3 linked regions of the Oryctolagus cuniculus genome follow. The protein of the gene in region 3 interacts with the protein of the main gene of each other region in a biochemical or structural test. Links are inferred from orthologs where the notes say so. Each region holds a gene or a part of one and is shown on either strand. Other genes may lie near its edges.

Region 1 (4,194 bases), on a different chromosome or scaffold from region 3:
CGAGTCCCTCATCAAGATGCTGGCCCGAGGCTTCTGCATCGATGACTTCACATTCCTCCGGGACCCCTGGAACTGGCTGGACTTCAGCGTCATCACGATGGCGTAAGCAGGGGCCTGAGGCTGGGGTCGGGGAGGGGAGGGGAGAGGAGGGGCTGGCCAACTGGGCTGACCCTCTCAGAGGGGCCTTCGAGATGTGGAGGGTAGACGAGGCGGGAGGGGCGCCCAGGTCAGTTGTGCAGATAGTGAACTGTGCAACTGTAGGAGCTGCTGTTCCCAGGGCCCGGCTCGGAGCCTCTCTGTGTTGCATGGAGAACCACAGCAGGCAGCCTGAGCCATGTCCTGTAGGCCCTCACCTATCTGGGCAGCGCCATCCTGGCCACCCCCACTCCCCAGCAGCAAAGCTCTGTCACTCTACTTCCCAACTCTGGGGCTCCCCTAGGAACTGTAGGGGTGTAAGACCTGCCCCAGTCCCCCATGGTGACCCCAACTGCAAGGACTCCTTGAGAATCCTCACTGTGGGCCTGGGGGAGCCCCAATTTCAGCCCTCCCATCTCCCCTGGCTCTGACACAGCCCTCCCCCCAACCCCGCCCCAGGTACCTGACGGAGTTCGTGGACTTGGGCAACATCTCAGCCCTGAGGACTTTCCGGGTGCTGCGGGCCCTGAAAACCATCACGGTCATCCCAGGTACTGGGGTGACACAGGGACCCTCTGCCTGGACCAACAGACCTGCCCCTTGCTCACACCTGGAACCTAGCACTCGAGTTCCAGGAGCCTGCGCCAGGGTTATGACTCTGCTGGGCTGTGTGTAAGGCTCTCCCCACGGCCTGGACCACAGGGGGCTGGCACAGCCGGAGAGCAGGAAGGGCCCTCGGTGGGAGCTGGGTGTTTCCCCACAGCTTAGCAAGGTGGTGGAGCCAGACTGCTTGGGTTCAACTCTCCCTTGCACCCGTCTGTGACCTTGGGCAAGTGTTTGACTTGCTGTGCCTCAGTTGCCCCATCTGTGAAACGTGGATGGTAGTAGTACCACCCAGTGGGTTACTTTGAGGTTAGGGACTTTGAAGGAGGGCCCGGCACAAGGGATGTGACACATAACAGAGTTAGCCTCACAGTCAACGCCCGTGTGCCACGCTGGAGTCCTGGGTTCCACACCTGGTTCTGGCTCCTGACTCCACCTTCCTGCTAATACAGACCTGGGAGGCAGCCGTGATGGCTCAGGAAACTGGGTTCCTGCCACCCATGTGAGAGAGCTGGGGGGAGCTTCCGGCTTCCAGTTTCAGCCTGGCCCATTCCCAGCCGTTTCAGGCATTTAGGGAATGAACAAGCAGATGGAAGCACCTTCTCTGTCCCTCCTCGCTCTCTGCCTCTCAAATAAATGATTTTTTTTTAATTTGTTTGAAAGGTAGTTACAGAGAGGGGAGGGGAGAGAGAGAGAGAGAGAGCGCGCGATCTTTCATCTGCTGGTTCACTGCCCAAATGGCTGCAACAGCCAAGCTGAAGCCAGGAGCCTGGAGCTTCCTCTGGGTCTCCCACACGGGTGCAGGGGCCCAGGCACGTGGGCCATCTTCCACTGCTTTGCCAGGTGCACCAGCAGGGAGCTGGATCAGAAGTAGAGCAGCCGGGTCTTGAACCGATGCTTATATGGGATGTTGGCATCACAGGCAAAAGCATTTTTTTTTTTAAGATTTATTTATTTGAAAGTCAGAGTTACACAGAGAGAAAAGGAGAGGGAGAGAGAGAGAGAGGTCTTCCATCCAATGGTTCACTCCCCAATTGGCCACATCGGCCGAAGCTGTGCCAATCCGAAGCCAGGAGCCAGGAGCTTCTTCCGGGTCTCCCACGCAGGTGCAGGGGCCCAAGGACCTGGGCCATCTTCTACTGCTTTCCCAGGCCATAGCAGAGAGCTGGATGGGCAGTGGAGCAGCCGGGTCTTGAACCAGCACTCATATGGGATGCCGGCGCTTCAGGCCAGGGCATTAACCCACTGCACCACAGCGCCAGCCCCTAGAAGCTTAATCTACTATGCCACAACGCTGGCTCCCTCAAATAAATGAATTTTTCAAACAAATAAAAATGCAGACTGAGCAGAAACCGCTCTGTGGGGGCTGAACTGAGCACACAGCGCAGCCCGCTGAGCCATAAGAGCAGGCACGGGCTCGGGGGGATGGCCACCCTGCCCCACCCGCTGCCCACACTGGTGCCCTCCCCAGGGCTGAAGACGATCGTGGGCGCCCTGATCCAGTCCGTGAAGAAGCTGTCAGATGTAATGATCCTTACCGTGTTCTGCCTGAGCGTCTTCGCCCTGGTGGGGCTGCAGCTCTTCATGGGGAACCTGCGGCAGAAGTGTGTACGCTGGCCCCCGCCCTTCAACGACACCAACACCACGTGGTATGGCAACGACACATGGTACGGCAACGACACGTGGGACGACGGCCGCGAGAGCTGGGCCAGCAACTACACCTTTGACTGGGACGCCTACATCAACGACGAAGGTAAGAGTGGACAGGTGGGCAGGCGAGGCGGGGGGCCTGTCCCAGCCCCTGCCACAGCTTCTCGTGACGCACATAGCCTGGCGAGGACCTGAGCTGAGATCTGTCCCTTGTCAGCTTGTGTCACCTCTGACAAGTCACTCGGTCTCCCCTTGTCTGCATCACACGATGTGCTCACACCCTGGCAGACCCCCGGCAGGCACCACCTGGAGATGCCCTATTGGCACATGCAGCCTGCACAGGCACACACGTGAGACACACACTCCCACACAGCCACGCGTCCTCCCCACAGTGCCTCCGTGCAGCTGGGACAGTGGTGCCCCTTCTGGAAGCCAGCCCCAATTCACACTGAAATCAGGGCTTGGTAGCCTGAGGCAGACACATACGGGTCCCTTCTGGCTCCGTGCGTCCTCACTGGACACCCACACTCGCGCTGAGCTGCCACTGTTTGGGCCAGAGCTCCCTCCCCATCTCTTGTGCGGAGACCTTAGAACCTGGAGCTGTCATTATGGGAGGGGGAGGGGCGCCCAGAGGACACCTATTTGGGGTACATGGCGCACGGGTGTGCAGTGGGTGCGTGTGCCCGCAGTGTGCCTGCGCGGGTGACACGCCTCCTTTGTGGCATTCGACTTCCAAAGGGAACTTCTACTTCCTGGAGGGCGCCAACGACGCCCTGCTCTGTGGGAACAGCAGTGACGCGGGGTGAGTGATGCTGGGGAGGCAGCAGGGAAGAGGGGCGTCCCAGGTCTTGGAAGATGGGGGATGGGAGATGATCAGGGACTGGGACTTGGGCTGGACGGGAGTCAGGGAAAACCCACGGACGTGGAAGGACTACTTTCCAGACTGGGGACATAGGTGGGACTGAGGGTTCCCCCCTCTGGGGTCGCACACATGTCTCCCAGCTACAGCTCTCTGCCCCCCATCCTGTCCCCAGGCACTGCCCCGAGGGTTACGAGTGCATCAAGGCTGGGCGAAACCCCAACTATGGCTACACCAGCTACGACACCTTCAGCTGGGCCTTCCTGGCGCTCTTCCGCCTCATGACACAGGACTACTGGGAGAACCTCTTCCAGCTGGTACAGCCTCCCCTGCCCCCACCCCTCCACCCTGCAGGCCACAGGTGACCCCAGCATAGCCATCTGCTCTGTAGGACCATAGGTGCCCCTGCAGCTTCTGGGAACCCTGAGCACCTGTCCAGAGCTGGGCCACAGCCTTCCTCACCTTAAGAGCTGAGGTCTGGGCCTGGCACAGGCTTGGGTCCAGGAAACCCTGGGCCTCACGGAAACCAGCAGGGCAGCTGGGAAATTCACCCCTGCCCACGTGCAGGTACAGCCGGCCTCCGCCCGTGTGGGGTCCGCGTGCACTGACCCGATCACCGTGGATCAGACTGTTGGAGGGGGAAAAGTACCGTGCCAAACACGTCCAGGCCGATTTCCTTCTCATTCGTCCCTAAGCAATCAGCATGACAAGCATTTACATAGTATTTATGTCATAAAGTCTACAATTCAAGACATTTCCAAATACAAAAAAATTTGAACTACAAACTTCAAAAAGTTCATGGAAAATGCACATTGTAAAAATGTATGGATTTAAAACTGTTTTTCTGCACCAAAATCGGGTTATCTTTTCATGCTGTTTGCCACGGACTTTTGGAAGTATTTTAAGTTCCCTGGGACGTGGCGTGGCCTGCCCAGGATGACCACATC
Region 2 (3,009 bases), on a different chromosome or scaffold from region 3:
GGCGGGCCTGCGCCCCAGCCCCGAGACCGCCCCGCTGCCCCCCGCCCTACCCAGAGGGCTTGCGTTGGTCACCACGGAGGCAAAGTCCTTCCTCTCACACTCGGGGAGGCCCTGCATGTACTGCTTGGCCTGCCAGGGAAGACAGGGTGAGGGGCAGCCCCCAGGCCAGCTGGCCTCACCCGCCCAGCTCCATACGGACATCAGCGCTCCGCAGCTTTTGCACGAAGTCGGCCGGAGGCGTCCCTGTCACCTTCATGATCTCCTTCAGCTGGTCCAGGTCTGCACTGGGGTTCAGGAGCACGACAGGGGACAGGGAGCAGGAGCCACACCCACCTCCTCCGGCCCCGCCCGCCAGGCAGCCCACGACTGAGGATACGGTCACTGCCCTTGAACAGCGTCTTCCCCGTAATCATCTCCGCCATGATGCAGCCCACCGACCAGATGTCCACTGAGACGAGACCCCATCAGCACCCGGGGTGGAGGAAGGGGCTGTAGCACAGGCCCACGCCCTCACCCGGCTCCGCCAGAACACACAGCTTTTGGGGGGCGGGGCCTCCACCATGGAGCGAAGCGGTGTGGTCTGGGAGGCCCCCGTGTCCCTGGGTGGCCTCTTACCTGTCTGTGTGTAGTGCATCCAGTTCAGGATGACCTCGGGGGCCCGGTACCACCGGGTCACCACATAGCCAGTCATCTCACTGTCAGCCTGCCTGGCCAGGCCAAAGTCCAGGATCTGTGGGAAGAATCAGAGAGATGGGACTAAGAGGACCCCTAAGGGATGCACAGGCCAGCCATGGTCCGGGAGACCCCCAGGGGGCTGGGCCCAAGGCAGCAAGCACCACCCCAGGGTCCCTCCCTGGGAGTACCCGGGAGCTCTGGCCCTGGACTCCTCTCCCTGCTCTGCCAACCCCTGCCCGTCTTCCTGGAGGCCTCCTCAGCCCCGCCCTGGGTCAGGCATGGGGACTGGGAACACCTCCCACGCTCGCCCTGACGCAGGTATGGGGGCGTCGTGCCCGATGCCACCCCCTCAGGGACCACCCAGGGCCCATTCGCCCACCAGCTAGCTGCTCAGCCCCTGCCCAGGTGCCAGGCTGGGGGCAGATGGTGAGGGAGCCCCCCCCCCCAGGCCCCTGGCCCTCGCACCTTCAGCTCACAGTCCTCATTCACTGCCAGGTTGCCGGGCTTCAGGTCCTGCAGGCAGAGGACAGGTGGCCACTGCGAGGCCCGACGTTGGACGGCACCCACACAGGGGCCGCCAGGCCCGACCCAGCCTCCCTGGCCCTTGCAGCCCGTCCAGGAGAGCAGAGGTGCCTGGGTCCCCAGGACACGTTCCCAGCAGCAATGCATGGGGTGTCGTGTGCACCACGCCAAGCCCACCGCACCCCCTCACGGGTGAGCAGTGGAGACGGGACTGGGCCCCTCTGGAGGCCGTAGCCAGGACTCACCCTGTGGATGACGCCAGCAGCGTGGATGTACTGCAGACAGAGGGGTCAGCAGGGGTCAGCGTCCCAGGGCCTCAGGGCCACAGAGCCTCCCCGCCCTGCTCTGCCCGGGTGCCCCACCTTCAGCCCCTTCAGCATCTGGTACACCAGGAACTGGATGCGGTCCTCACTCAGCTTCTCGTGCTTCATGAGCTTGCCCAGGTCGGTGCCCATGAACGGCATCACCAGGTAACTGGAAGTGGGGCTGGGATGCAGTCACCCGCCAGGGCCGGGCCCTGGAGCCGGGGGTCCCACCCGATGGGCTCAGGCTCAGACCTGGAGGACTCTGCCCGACAGATGCCCCTCAGAAGGTGACCCTCAGCACCTGGTCCCCGCTGGCTTCGGTCGAGTCCTCTCTTCCCCGACCTCCCTGTCGCTCCCAGCAATGACCCCGCCTCCCCCCAGACATCCCACCCAGCCTACCCTGAATGTCACCCACTGTGGGGCTCCTGATTTCTCGTCTAAAAGGCACAGTGTTGAAGACAAGGGGGCAGGAAGCTTCACACACAGGGGCCGGGGAAGGACGAGATGGGTGGTGGCCAGAGGGGTGGGCTGGGCAGGCCGAGGGAGGGAAGTCACCACTTAGCACCCCAGGAGACGCTGAGGCCTCGGGGACCCACCCTTGGCATGTCAGGCAACAGGGAGCCCGCTGCCCTCCGCAGCCCTCCGCAGGCCTGGCCCTGCTCCCAGCTGAGAACAACGTGAGCCGGAAGCAGCCTGGTCAGTGCTAGGCCGGGATGGCCGCTCCCTGCCACCTCTCCTCCACCCACCGGCAAAGGTCAGCAGCTCCAGTTACAGGCCACACGCCTGGTGCCTGGGGCCAGAGCACGGGACCAGCCTGTTAACAGGGTTCACACCTCCAGCACCGGCGATGGCCCAGGTGCTGCGGGTGGAGGGAGGAGGAGGCCCGGGCTGTGTCTGGGTGTTCCAGTGCCCAAGGGTCCCAGGAACATGTTGGGAGGGGGTGTGGAGTGGCCTGGGTCCGGACACAGAGTGAACAGGGTGTATCCCAGCGCCCGTCACCATGGCTGTGGGGAAAGGCCCCCTGCCGACCCAGAACCTAACGCTGGTGCCCAGGAGCCAGCCAGTGCCCTACTGGCCTGCCCGGCCAGCCCAGCCAGCACTCACAAGTCTGTGAAGTCGTCCAGGGTCTCGTCTGGGGTGAACACGTCCAGCAGGCCGATCACCTGGGGGAGAGCCAGAGCGCCAGGTGGGGGAGGGTGCAGCAGAGGATGCAAGGGCTCGGTGGTGCCGCACAGTGGGCAGGACCCCCCCGCAGCTGGCCTCGTCTCCCCACTGGCTCAGCCCTGGCACCTTCACCCATGCACGGTTATTTTTGGGTGGTGACAGCTGGGATGCTCTGGGGGAGGGGCAGCCTCAAGTCTGTGCTGGCTCTGAACCACCCAGAGGGCTCCCAGCCCCTCGGCCTTCCTCCCCCCTTCCTCTTCCCAACCAAGCAGCCCACAGGACCAGGATGGGGACAGATACCCAAGAGGCCCTTCCCAGAGCCATTGCCTCTGCCGGTGCAACC
Region 3 (4,967 bases):
TCTGCCTGTGCCTCTCTGTAACTCTGTTTTACAAACAAAATAGAGGGGGCCGGCGCTGTGACATAGCAAGCCACCTCTGCAGTACTGGCTGTGATCCCATATGGGCGCCAGTTCGAGTCCCAGCTGCTCCACTTCTGATCCAGCTCTCTGCTTTGGCCTGGGAAATCAGAAGATGGCCCAAGACATTGGGCCCCTGCACCTATGTGGGAGACTCAGAAGAAGCTCCCTGTCAGTATGCCTGGGAAAGCATTAGAGGATGTCCCAAGTCCTTGGACTACACCAGAGTGGGAGACCTGGAAGAAGATCCTGGCTCCTGGCTTCAGATCAGTCCAGCTCTAGCCACTGCAGCCATTTGGGGAGTGAACCAGTGGATGGAAGACTTCTCTGCCTCTCTGTAATTTTACCTTTCAAATAAATAAAATCTTTGAAAAATGAAAAAAGAAGCTATCATTTATTACCAATACTTCAACATCATCAAGGTCAAAAGTAACTGAATTTTAGTGATTTACCAATGATACGTCTCTATAGTCATCACTTAATTAACAGCACACAATGAAAATCTGGCTCCCATATTTGAACCTCTGTAAGCTTTTTATACATAAATTTTTGTTACAGTTTAACCTCAAGCGGCAAAGTGATTCTGTAACTTAGTACTTTGAATTGGTGGAAGTTCTGAAAACTCATGATTACCTTCAACAAACATATCTTTTAAATTGTATTCTGTGCAAATAAGTAAACACATAATTTATCCTAAGAAAGTCTATACAACACTAAGAATACCCAGATCCTGAAGTCACTTAAAATATTTTAACTGACTGCTTTTCTAAACATCTCTTCAAACCTCACATTTTAAACAAAATTTTGGAATATACAGTTCAACAGTGCAAAACCTAAAATTTAGTCTGTTAATGCTAAGTAACAGAATTTTAAGTAAACCACAAAGAAAGTTATGCATCATTAAGAGGTAAAAAGGAACCAAAGATAATTACAAAAGTTAACACCTCATTTTTAAAAATGTGTTGCCTGCCTGCAAACATACCATTCTTCTCCAGGAGGAGGGGGGAAACCAAGAACTTTATCAAAAATCAGGTGTTTAGTCATTATCAGGTGCTACAATAATTTTTACATAAAATTTATGAACACAAATACCTTTGTAAAGTGGTAATTCTGGGTCAAACTTGCTCTATTATGGCTTTGTTGCTCTGAGGCCAAGTATGAACCATATAAGGAAACTGAAGTTCAATGTCATTTATTTTGTTCCATTCTTTCAGATGCCCAACAACAACCTCCTTTGCTGCCTAATACATGGTCTGAATTCATAAAGTAGATCAGCTGTGCACTTTAAATTCCTTGATAAGGCTAATTTGGCTTAAAAGGAATTATATGATGGTTCACAATTAAAAAAAAAAAACAGAAATCACACTCTCAGAAAAAAAAAAAAAACAAAGCAATACAGTTAAAAGTCTCCCATTTTGAAAAGTACTTTTAAAAGACGAAGTAGCAAATATCAAGTTGTGAAATAATTTGATCCTGATTTTAAAATTTACCTTTTCTCTCTGAACGGAAGTCAGCTCTTTCTCCTGGGGTTTACAGTAATTACTTTGCTAGTATTTGATAAACTAGGCATCGATTTATATTAAAATGATTCCACAGATGATCATATTTTCTTAGCATTTACTCACAAATACAATATTTTTTCACTACCTTTACCACAAAAGTACTGGGGAAAAAAATAAACTTAAGACACTAAAACGCCGCTGAAAGCAGGGAGTGGGTTTGCCATGACCCAAACGCGTTGACTCTAGGAAGTCTACCCATTGGCTCAGGGGTGTTCAGAGCTCTGCCTGCTGCTAGTAGGTCTGTCACGCTTCACGGAGTCCTGCCCCACACTAAGTTCCTCTCCCTTATTAGGCCGAACCGAACGAAACATTTGGGCCAACACAAAAATCTAAATATCCTAGTATTCAAAGGCACAGCTTTTTTTATATCCCAATCAGTGTGGTTCCCAAGAAAATCTTTGAAGCGTTTTACTTCCCTCCCTACATAGTCAGTGCTGACCTGCACGGCAGTCCGAGCAAATCAAGCTGCGTTTTAATTACACACCTTCATCTGTAATCCTCACTCCCTCCTTCTCCATCCTAATGGTTCAGTCACAAGAAAAGTCTAGCAGACGCTTGCTTTCAATTAATGAAGGAAATATTTTAGGAGTCAACACCTGAAAAGGACAAGTTAACACACGTGAAAAAAAAAAAAAACATTACCTGCCCTGAAAACTAAAGCTGGCAAAAAGTTGCTTGTCCCTAAAATCCAATAAACTAGACGCAACAAGGCTCTGAACCAAAAACAGTCTCTGCGCGATGAACTCCAAAGCCAAAACCATCGCTATCAGCACAAACAAACGCGGCAGCCATCTCAACAGCCGCAAATCGACGGAACTTTCCTCCCAACCAAGTCGCCAGACAGGAGCTTCGCACACCTCGCAGAGGCTCCAGAAAACGAAAACTTCTGGAGCTCGCGCTCAACAAAGGCACTCTTTCTCCAGGCGGCCCAAACTTCCCGTCCCACTGCATTCTTACCATCGCTTCTACACAAACCACAGCCCAGATGGCAGACCGGGGCTTAAAAAACAAAACAAAACAAAACACACACAGCTCTCCCACTTCACCACCTAGAACACTGTGCGCTCCGATCCGAGCAAAGAACTGACGGAAACTTGGGCAAAAGGATCGCCCCTTTTCCGGTCCGTGCACTGTGTGTCTTCCAGACGCTTCTCGCGAAAATTACCTTTCGGCCGGACGGCGTCTCAGGGCTGCTTTTTCCAGGCTTCGCTGCCCATGATTCCCTCGCCCGCGTTAGTCACTTCGCATCCAGCCGAGTCTCTCCGGTGAGAACGGATGTGCAGCGGCCGCCCGCAGCAGCAGAGTAGGCTGCCCGGGTGGGGGTTGGGATGCGGGCTGGCTTCCTGGTCTCGAGTTTGCAGGAGTTTCCCAGCCCCAACTAGGATCTCCGCCGAGAGGAGGAGGAAAAAAAAAAAAAAAAAAAAAAACTTTTTCACTCGTGACACCGCCCGGAATTGCCGTGCGAAACTCACTTCCTGCCTCGGCGCAAGGCAGGAGCCAGCTCCGTCCAGGGGAACCCGGAACCCCAGCGCGCGCGCCGCGGAGGGGGAGGGGAGGCGCCGTCGGCCGGGCCCCGCGCGCCCCGCGCCCCCGACGGCGGCGGCGGCGGCCGAGACGCCGCCCGGGCGCTCGGCGGGCCGCGGCCGCGCTAGGCCGGCCCTGCTCCTCGCCGCCGCCCCCAGAGCCGAGCGGCCGGTTATTGTCTCGCTAGCGCCTGCCGCGCCCTTCGCCCGCGCCGCCGCCGCCGCCCGGAGCCGAGGGGCCGGGCAGGCTCGATGGCGGCGCCCTCGTCGGGCCGGCCGTCCTTCTGTCCGTTCCTCGCAGCGTTCCCTGCTCGCCCGCCTCTCGCTTTCCCGCCGCCGCGCCGCCACTCCCCTGCTGCTGCTTCTTCCCCGGCGGCGGCGGCGGCGGCCGCACGGGGCGCGGGGCTGGGGTGGGCGGCAGCCCGGTCCTCCTCACGAGTTCGCGGGGCCGCGGCGGGGGCCGAGGCTGCGTCCCGCGCCGCCGCGCCACCTTCGCTCGGGCGAGAGACGGCGAGGGGAGGGGCCCGGCGGGAGGGAGCGGAGAGCGACGAGGAGGAGGAGGAGGAGGAGGAGGAGTGGGGCTGGGGCGCAGGGGAGTGACCGCCGCGCAGGCCGCGGCGGAGGCTACGGCGCCACCGCCCCGCCGGCGAGGGGGGAGAGGCTGCGCGCGGCCGCGCGGCGGAGGGGGCGGGGCGGCCTCCCGCGGGCTGCGCCCCAACCGCCCACAGCCGGGCCGGAGGCCGGCGCGAGCCAGTCAGCGCGCGCGCGCGCGCGGGGGCCGCGCGGCCGACGTCGGCGGCGGGGGGCGGCGGGGCCTGGGGGGAGGGGCCCCGCCGTCCGCGGGTTCGCGTGCCGGGCGCGGCGTGAGGCCCGCTCGGGCGCCGGTCCCCGGGGGCCTGCCTGCGGGCTCCGTGACCCCCCGCGCACGCCGGCTCCCCAGCCCGTGGCGAACGCAGACGACGCCGCCGACCTCGGCCCGGGAACGCAGAGCCCTCAGGCCGCCGCCGCCGCGCTGGCCGGTTGAGTTTCTTTGTACACAGCGGCCGGTGCGCCGGGGGCTGTTCGAGTCCAGCCCCGATTTGCAGGCAGCAGGTATCCGCTGCGGCCGCTGCACTCCAACTTCTTGTAATGGCACGCTCGGGTTGCAAGCCGCCGCCGCAGCGGCCCAGCCGAGCTTCCCACGCCAGCCCTCGCTCGCTCGCTGGCCCCGCCGCGCAGCTGGGGCTCCTCCAGGGTTCGGCCTCGCACCGGCGCGGAGACAAAGCTGGCGCTGGCCGGGGGAAAATGGCCCGCGAAATTGCCTCGAGCTCGCGCCTTTGTTAGAAGAAACGCCGGCTGCCCTCTGAAGGCGACGCAGGCTCCCCAGCCCAGTGGTTTCGGTGGCGCAGCGGTTGGCTTGCGCTGGCCCTCGTAATTCATCCTGGCGGCTTTTGCGTTTAGAGAGAGACTCTTTAGCGTCCTGTCAACACATACGGCATAGAGAGCGTGAGCCATAATATTGCACAGTTGTTGCAGTTGCCGCATTAAATATGTTGACAGACGGCCTTGTTTTACCCGGAGGAGGAGCGGAATGGGTACGGGGAGACCTTCCCTCCACCCCCGCCTCTGCTCTGCTTCACTGTGTACAGCGATGGTGCTTTGGGCCCCAGGTCCCCGGAGGCACTGGTTCAGGTCTTCCGTCTGTATTCCAGAGATAATTGCTTATTATCAAGTTTGAGTAAAGAGCTATATGCCCTACAGACAATTCTTGGCCTGCATCCAAAGGGAAGAATTCATAAAGTGCACAAAGAATTACTTACCTAAATGAGTTGTGCACAAGTGACAA

The links. The genes of interacting proteins can lie anywhere in the genome.
Region 1: the proteins of ERBIN (region 3) and SCN4A interact in a test that uses a peptide from one of them, tested with the Homo sapiens proteins (2 studies listed by BioGRID and IntAct). The link is inferred for Oryctolagus cuniculus from reciprocal best matches to the Homo sapiens genes ERBIN and SCN4A.
Region 2: the proteins of ERBIN (region 3) and MAPK12 interact in a test that uses a peptide from one of them, tested with the Homo sapiens proteins (2 studies listed by BioGRID and IntAct). The link is inferred for Oryctolagus cuniculus from reciprocal best matches to the Homo sapiens genes ERBIN and MAPK12.

What each region holds. Positions count from the first base shown.
Region 1 is NC_091448.1:14,800,417-14,804,610, forward strand, and holds part of SCN4A (sodium channel protein type 4 subunit alpha), read left to right. Parts: coding exon 1-102; intron 103-594; coding exon 595-686; intron 687-2,209; coding exon 2,210-2,491; intron 2,492-3,126; coding exon 3,127-3,190; intron 3,191-3,422; coding exon 3,423-3,564; intron 3,565-4,194. UniProt on the Homo sapiens protein: Pore-forming subunit of Nav1.4, a voltage-gated sodium (Nav) channel that directly mediates the depolarizing phase of action potentials in excitable membranes.
Region 2 is NC_091442.1:123,206,627-123,209,635, forward strand, and holds part of MAPK12 (mitogen-activated protein kinase 12), read right to left. Parts: intron 2,666-3,009; coding exon 2,607-2,665; intron 1,672-2,606; coding exon 1,560-1,671; intron 1,473-1,559; coding exon 1,443-1,472; intron 1,189-1,442; coding exon 1,141-1,188; intron 731-1,140; coding exon 616-730; intron 449-615; coding exon 377-448; intron 280-376; coding exon 200-279; intron 130-199; coding exon 51-129; intron 1-50. UniProt on the Homo sapiens protein: Serine/threonine kinase which acts as an essential component of the MAP kinase signal transduction pathway.
Region 3 is NC_091445.1:86,864,492-86,869,458, reverse strand, and holds the start of ERBIN (erbin), read right to left. Parts: upstream 3,047-4,967; 5' UTR 2,785-3,046; intron 2,754-2,784; exon of another isoform or gene 2,580-2,753; coding exon of another isoform or gene 2,577-2,579; intron 2,216-2,576; 5' UTR 2,110-2,215; coding exon 2,104-2,109; intron 1-2,103. UniProt on the Homo sapiens protein: Acts as an adapter for the receptor ERBB2, in epithelia. By binding the unphosphorylated 'Tyr-1248' of receptor ERBB2, it may contribute to stabilize this unphosphorylated state.